Linked DNA regions of Macaca fascicularis. The protein of the gene in region 1 purifies or fractionates together with the protein of each later gene. This does not show direct contact. Links are inferred from orthologs where the notes say so. Each region holds a gene or a part of one and is shown on either strand. Other genes may lie near its edges.

What was found.
Region 2: the proteins of L3MBTL3 (region 1) and SAMD13 purify together in Homo sapiens (affinity purification with mass spectrometry; 3 studies listed by BioGRID and IntAct, counting the BioPlex papers as one, with this or other methods). This does not show direct contact. The link is inferred for Macaca fascicularis from reciprocal best matches to the Homo sapiens genes L3MBTL3 and SAMD13.

Annotation. Positions count from the first base shown.
Region 1 is NC_088378.1:34,057,994-34,061,813, forward strand, and holds part of L3MBTL3 (lethal(3)malignant brain tumor-like protein 3), read left to right. Parts: intron 1-1,864; coding exon 1,865-2,000; intron 2,001-3,820. UniProt on the Homo sapiens protein: Is a negative regulator of Notch target genes expression, required for RBPJ-mediated transcriptional repression. It recruits KDM1A to Notch-responsive elements and promotes KDM1A-mediated H3K4me demethylation.
Region 2 is NC_088375.1:150,346,546-150,350,897, forward strand, and holds the start of SAMD13 (sterile alpha motif domain-containing protein 13), read right to left. Parts: upstream 2,954-4,352; 5' UTR 2,939-2,953; coding exon of another isoform or gene 2,884-2,938; coding exon 2,850-2,883; intron 2,072-2,849; exon of another isoform or gene 1,970-2,071; intron 1,834-1,969; exon of another isoform or gene 1,751-1,833; intron 1,145-1,750; exon of another isoform or gene 1,063-1,144; intron 554-1,062; coding exon 469-553; intron 1-468.

The DNA.
Region 1 (3,820 bases):
CGCCAGGGTATTGGATAAGTCATCCGTATGGATGATGAAAGTACTCAGATGGAAAGGAAAAGAATAAGCCAGGGCTAAGTGTTTGGGTGGTTAGCATGGGCGAAGAAGAGGAGGAGAGTTGCTTCAGCCGTGTGGCTTGAGCCTCAGAGGAGAACTGGCCTAGGATCCATGGTGTGGTGGGACGCAGCAACCCCTCCTGTGTCTGCAGGAGGTAGAGTTGGGAACATGAGCAGCCTTGGGGAAAGGCTTGAGAAGGACGAGCTAGGTATGACTGTGGGCAAGGAGGGTGAGGATGTGGGAGATTGTTTCTCAAAGCATAACTTTCCAGTGAGCCTGAGATAGAGACTGTGGGGAGAACAGAGAGAGCTTGGCTCAAGGGAGCAGAAGCTCAGAACTGTGTGCCCACGAGGAACTAGAGGCTGTAAGTTACTGAAGGGCTGAGCTCTTAGGATCGGCCAGAGACAGCTGACTGTGAGTCAGAGGAGAGAAGCAGCCTTCTTTGAATGAGGTGGCTGCAGGGAGTGGCGGTATCTCCTGCCTTTCTTGAGAGATTGTATTTCCCAAGGATTCCAGTCTGAGTTCTATGGAGAGACTGTTCTCTTTGGGGGGAGTCCGCTTAGTTGTAAATTTTATGTATGTGGTGTATCAATACAGTTTAATTGAAAAAATACTCATATAAGAAAATATTAAAAGTCCATCGTTTCCATTTTGCCCTTTACTTTTTACTACCACTTCCTAGAAGAAATCATTATTAACATTTTGGCAAATATTCATCCCGACTTCTTTTTACTGTGTGTTTATGTATATATGCATATGTGTGCATATTAATGTATGTATATAAATGCATATACTTATATATATGTATACACACAATACATATATGTATACATAATCATATACCCATAAATATACATGTGGACCCCCACATGTCTAATTTTCTCATAAACTAACTCATTCTCTGTTATGTGTTCTGCCACTTGAATTTTAGCAATATGTTTTAGAGAACTTGCCATGACAGTAACTGTACAGCTGCCTCACTATTTGAGGATTGATTGTCCTGGCTCTGCACTCTGGTCTAAGTCCATCATTCAGGGTTCTGCAGGACAGATGCTCACGGAGCGGGTAGAGGTCTGGTGTGGTATGTGTTTCTACCTGAACACATCTGCTTGTGTTAGTGGGAAGAAGTCCGAGGGGCTGAACCTTCTCTCTGAAAGCCCAGGGGGAGGGTATGATCCGGCTCAGGTCTCATAAGCCTATATGACCTTCTAACTCAGAATGTCCCTAAGTGGGGCCCTGTAGGCATATGTACGGCATGTGTTATACAGAGTACATTCTTACTAGCATTCTTAGGAGCCTGTCTCATCCAAGTAATAAACCAGGAGAGATGCTTTTCTTTCTTCCTTCCAACCCAGCTTTGGTGGAGAAGAAACGCTTGACTTCTGTGCATATGCGCCAGCTGTGGTCTGCAGCATTCAGTGCAGGGCAGAGCATCCACTTTGGGGCCATGCTAGAGCTGAGTGTGCTGTGCTGGTGTGCCTTCCAGCTTACCTCGGGGACACATCCTGGTACAACGTAGGGAGTGGAGAAAGGACCTGCACTTTTGGGATATTATGCTTTGCCCCCTATCCGTGTGCTCCTAATGTGACTGAGAATGTTGTCAGAATGCCGCAGCTCAGCTCTTCCAAATGTAATAGCTTTTGTCTTTAGATTCTGGATATTTGTTTAGTTGTTTTATTGCTGTTAATGTGGGTGGTTTGATTAACATTAAGACTGTATCATGCCTGGTGTCCATGTTTATTTTTGTATATATATATGAATATTCTGGATCAAAAAAAAATAGTTCAACCTGTTTTACCTGTTTCAGGTTTGTGGATACCGGATAAAGCTTCACTTTGATGGGTATTCTGATTGCTATGACTTCTGGGTGAATGCAGACGCTCTGGATATCCACCCAGTTGGGTGGTGTGAGAAAACTGGCCACAAACTCCATCCTCCAAAAGGTTTTGTCACTTTTTGTTTCATATTTTAAATTCAGTACAAACTCATTTTCTTACATGCTACATTAAAATTGTTAAGAATTCGGACTTCATGAAAATTCAGATAGGCGCAAATTTAACCTTATTGTTCATGATGAAACCACATTTATTAAAGTAAAATAAATAAAAGTGTACTCCAACTTAAGAAAATAAAGTATGTTCATATGCTTATTTTCATGTAAAATAACATTTGCATGATACTCAACTTTGGCTGCAAATAATGTTTACCTGCAAATTTCTGTTATTAAATACATATATCTTTGAAAAAACTGATTTGAAAAATTAGTTTAAATTAGTTTACATAACTAAGTTTAGTGTAAACTGGTTTAAACTAATTTTTCAAATCAGTTTTTCATTATATAGAAAATCCTGAGAAATTATGCATGACCGTTTAGATCTTAATATTTAGGAGATTGGCAAGAAGACTATAACACTAAAAATTGGCTTAGGTGGGGGGTTGAACTCATAGCAATTACTTTTCTTCTATTTGAGTTCTTTATGTTATAGTCCCCCAGTGATCTTCCTATTTCATGTTTACATCAAAGTTCCAGAATAAAAGATATCATCTTTTTCACTGTCTCCCTAAAGTATTCTTTAATTTTTTTTTTTTTGAGATGGAGTCTTGCTCTGTCACCAGATTGGAGTGCTGTGGTGTGATACTGGCTCACTGCAGCCACTGCCTCCCAGGTTCAAGCGATTCTCCTACCTCAGCCTCCCGAGTAGCGGGGATTACAGGCACCTGCCATCATGCCTGGCTAATTTTTGTGTTTTTATTAGAGCAAGAGCTTCACCATGTTGGCCAGGCTGGTCTCAAACTTCTGGCCTCAAGTGATCTGCCCACCTCAGCCTCCCGAAGTGTTGGGATTACAGGTGTAAGCCACCGTGCTCAGCCATATTTAGTAATATCTTATTCCTTTCTTTTTCAGTCATTACATTTATTTTTGTTTATGTCAAAAATTAAGGTTACTAGGTTGATATTTTTGGCCTATCTCAGGACTTCAGTGCATTAGCCATCCCTTTAAGTGAAAAAATAATGGCAGAGTGGTATTTTCAGATAGCTGAAGGATTAAACAAAATCGCATAGAAAAGATGAGGGTGCGAAAGAAAATCTGTAAGCCTTTTCACGAATTGATCTTTTATATATGGTAAATTATTAGCTGTTTTTTTCATGCTGCCTTCTGGACTTTAATGAATGTAAAAGAAAGCATATTCGCAGATAAAATAAGATGCTCAATTTCCTTTTTAAAAGAAATGTTAACTTCAATGAAATTGTAAAAATTAAGGGAGGACATTTCCCTTACTGTAATTTGCCAGCATCCTTACTTCATAAACCTTTAATTGTCCTTTTTGAAGTGATAGGCCAAAAAGATTTTACCTGTTTCATTTCTATTATTTCCAACTTCCCACTTGTTCCTATAAGTTAGTCTTCCCAAAATAGACGAGGTGAGAGAAAAATAAAGAATTTTGACTATTCTAGTTCAGCATCTATACTGCTGAGGAATTCTACCCAAATACTGGTAGAAATACCCTGATAATAAGTGCCCTGGGTATAATACGTATTTGTTTCCTTATTCCTTTTCTTTATATCCATTACCTTTCATTCAGAATTAGAAAATAATAATACAGTTTGTTGAAAATAAATGTCTAAATATACATAGTTATGAATTATGAGTTAAATTTTGTTTAAAAAGTCATTTGATTGATTTTGGTATGTTAGAGATAAAAGTGGGACTGGAAAACTAAGTGTAAAATATTTTGATATTTGAATCAGTCTGTTCATATGT
Region 2 (4,352 bases), on another chromosome or scaffold:
GAAGTTGTTAAACTATATTCTATATTCTTACTGAAGCTTTTTCCCTTCTTGCACTATAGCTCTTAGTTTTCAGAGTTAGAGGTGACTGCATCTCAAAAAAAAAAAAAAAAAAAAAATTCGAACTCAATTTTCTGCCCTCATTCTGTGTTGTCTACGGAAGAGTCTCTGCTTGGAGTTTTTGTTTCAATATACAGAATGCAGGGCTGAAATCCTCAACCATCCTTGTTCCAAAGCCTGATACACAAACCTTTCATATATATTTTGATGTCTGAGTCATCTCTGTCTTAGAAATGGAATACGGAAAAAGGTAACTGGGGTAGGGGGGAGAAGGGAGGTTGCTGGCCAATGTAGACAAACCAAGGCGACCTCCGAACTGTGTATTGTAGTAGATAAGCAAGAAGTACTAAAATAGAAACCAAGTCCCTCTGTTGTTTGCAGAAGCAGAACTCAGAAGCCAGCTTCACTTACTTTTTTACACCGACAGAGCCATTTTCCTTGTTTTCCATGTCAACAGATAGCATGGGAAGGCTGCAGGGTTCCTTTACTTCAGCAACTAATCAATAAGGGAGAAAAGCTTGTGTTTAATTCTTAGAAAGTGAGAGAAGAATATATATTCTGAATCGGAAACATAATGGTCCCTTTTACAGCTTCACACCAGTTCACGTATGTTTGTTTAAATCTCCAGTTCCCTCGGCGATTGGAGAGATGTGATTAAACCTAAAGAACTGGAGGAGACGGATTGGGGTGCTTTCATCTGTACTGGCACTCCCTGCCTTGACAATAAGCATTTGCAAATGAAATTGAATCCTTGTTGAAAACAAGTGCTGTGTGAACTGGCACAGCTTCTCCTGGGTGCCTAGCTCTCACATAAGACACTGCAACTCATAAATGAGTCAAAGTAGAGAAAAACAATCCCCCTTTTCCTTCCCCCCTCCCATTATGGGCTGTGATTTGTTTTTTCTTATTGCATTTGTTTTTTTGGTCCACTCCCCCTTGCTCCTAGATTTTTTCATTGCAATGCAGAAGGACACTTAAAGCTTTTGTCAGTAAGTATTCCCCTACCTCACATTCTCAACGAAAGCCTCAAAAACCCGTCTGTGAGATGGCCATGCTGTGGTAAAGCAGGAAGCTCACAAAAAATGCCAGATAGCCCTTAGCACAGAAAGGTGGTGCTGGGGTGTGTGTGTGTGTGTGTGTGTGTGTGTGTGTGTGTGTGTGTGTGTAAGAAAGAGTAGGTAGCTCATTAGATTTATGAAAAATCATCAGAACATTTAAGGAGATATTGTAGCATCCATCATTCTGTCTTTTTGTTTAGTAGGATGAGGGCTGTGAAAAATTAAAAGCCTTCCACAATTAATATGCAATTAGCAAAATGAAAAAGCTACGAACAAAACTGCTTTAAGAAAAAAAAAAAAAAAAAAAAAAAACGGAAGCAACAGTCCCGAAACGTGTTTGCTCTTATTCAGTTGAAGCCATAAATTAAATACATTTCCACTCAAATCACTTTATACTTCGGCACTCCTTCTCTAGGGATTACTCTGACATGGCAAGTGCATCATTTAGTATATTCGCAAGATTTTATCACTGTTAGAGAAGTAGATGATTAACAAATAACACTGTAAGTGTGGGATAATTTTCACTCCTGAAACACACACATACACACAAACTTCCAGTTGCTAAACCACTTAGATCACTGATAGAGAAATCCAACATTTAATATATAGATAGATATTAGCATACATTCACACACCGTTATAGAGTAGACAGGAAGATAGTGCTGCTGCTCCATGCTAACAGAATATGATTTCACTTCAGTTGGAAACTGTTACACATTCACCATTTTCTAAGCATCTCAGAAAACAAAACAAAACAAAACACTCACAATGATACTCTGCAACATCACACTACATTGTCTTATTATTATTACTATTATTTTCTTTTTTTGTGGAAGAGTAAAAAGAAAACCTACCTATAAGCAACTAAAAAATATCATTTTTTATAGGCTTATCAAGAACAGCCAAAGAAACCCCAATGTTTTCTTTCACAAAGTAGGCTGGCAAAGGAATTCAATAAGGAGGTACAATTTGACACAGTGAAATAAAACCAGGCTGGCTCTCAGCCAACATGACGTTAGGAATCACACACAAGCTGCACCAACTGCCTTCTGGTTCATGGCTGACTTTTTAAAGCTACAGTGTGCCTGTTCACTTTTGCTAACTACCTTCAGCACAATTAGTGCAAGAGAATGAGCCAGGAGTCCAAAACCTGCAGAATTCTCCCTGCACCTGTCTTGTACAAAGAAAAACAAGCTCTCTCAATAGCTTCTTATTTTCTCCCTCCCCTTCATTGTTGCTGCATGATAGGTCTTAGCTGTTGTTCTGAGCGTGAATGTCATGTTTCAAACTATTTCGTTTTCTCCCCAGAGGGAAAAATAAGAGTGAGAACCCAGTGCTTATGGGCTATAACCAGAGAACACTTGGAAGCTGCGGTCCCATGTTACTCTTTTTTTCCTAATAGAGATTGGTGGACAAAGTTCCCAGGGCTGGCTTTTAAGTAATCTCTTTGTGAGAATAAGGAAAGCACTGCCCAGCAGCAAATCCTTTTACTTCATTATGCAGGAAGTAACATATTTCAGAGAGGATGCAAAATAGATGACCAGATCTCCTGAAAACGCCCACATTCTTTTATTTTGGCATTTATTCTGCCAAATGAAGCCAGCAAAAATTCAGACTGAAACAAACAAAACCTTATTCTACAAAATGAAAACAATTAGTTCTGGGAGGTTTAATTTTAACTGTTTATCCCAGTTGCACAAAAAGCATAATTCAAGAAATTCAACCAACACTTACCATCTATGAGTACCCGGTACTGTATTAGTTGCATATAAGTAGAAAGACATTATGTCCACCCCAAAATTCATAGTCTCTCCCGCCATCATCCTAAATACCAAATCAGAAAACTGGGAGGTGGAGCAGAGAGGCTGGGCAAGATCTTTTGTTTACATTACCCTAGTCATTCTCACAGTTTCCGTGCTTGGCTTAAACCACTTTTCCAGGGGAATAATCTCATCCCATAAATGTTCTGCACATACACAGAAAACATACATGGTTGCCTCTTCATTGAAATAAACATCAATCAACATTTGTACACTTTTAGGTCAAGATGGTCAACAAAACCACTCAAAACAGGACACAGAACACAGGTTTCCCAGAAAGATCTTGGAAAAGTTATCTGTTGCTGTAATATCCTGTAGAATTCAGGTAGAATCCGAGGAGAAAGTTGCCTGCCTCCCTTTTTAAAAATAATCTTTTAGGACATTAGAAGATCAACTTTGATCTAAATTTGGAACCCGAATTTCAAGGTCAAAAATTGGTCCTTTACTTATTCCAGGAATTATATTAGAAATTTTCGACTTCCTTAAAGATCACTGCCGAGAAAGATTTCAAATATTTGCCATTGCTCCCTTGAAAAGGCAAACAATAGTAATCTAGGAACCAATTAAATATTTTTGAGCACTATTTTTGAGCACAGGTCAGGCATCTGGATCTTTCACCAGTGCTGATCTCAAAATGATGGACTCTTACCGAGATAAAGAGCTCTTTCACTAACAGATTCCATAATGCTTTTGGACTTGATCTGAAATTCCTTAACTATTCTCCCAGTAAATCCAAATTGGAAGCGAGTTGGACCGGGAGTTCTGTGTCCTGGGAAGCTGGGGTTGTCCTGACAGTGCTGCTCAGAACAAAAGCATGTTCAGCTCTCCACTCTTGAGGGGGAAAAGGCAAAGAGACTGTAGTTACACCCAGCTCTTCCTTAGACACAGCCGCAGGAGAAAGGATTCTGTGATGTTTTTCCAAGCATCTCTTCCTACATGTACAAAGGGACATCCCCTCCCATCTGGCCTGCTGTGATCAAAAGTTTGCCTGTTACACAACAGTAAAGTTTCAGAAAGTGTTGTAGGAAGTTAATCCCGTGGTATAAAAAGTGAGCCACAAAGACACTCTAAATTATGACAACAGGAGGTTTCACTTACCAGCTAGTTTCTAACTTTGGTAGTAAACTGACACTTGTGAATATAATATATATATACACACACTAGTACTCACACACTCCCTCCAACAAAATGTTTGACATCAATCCTCTGCTGATAAAAAGTTGTGTGTGTAGTGTGTAGCATAAAGTATGTATGTGTAATGTGTGTACTATGTGGTGTACTTTGTGTGTGGGTGTGGTACATATGTGGGTGTGTATATGGTGTGTGGGGGTGAGGGAGAGAGGCAACCAAACAAGACCTTCTGATCCAGTACATTATGGGATATGCTGAAATAACTTTGGAGATCCTGAAATCTCCA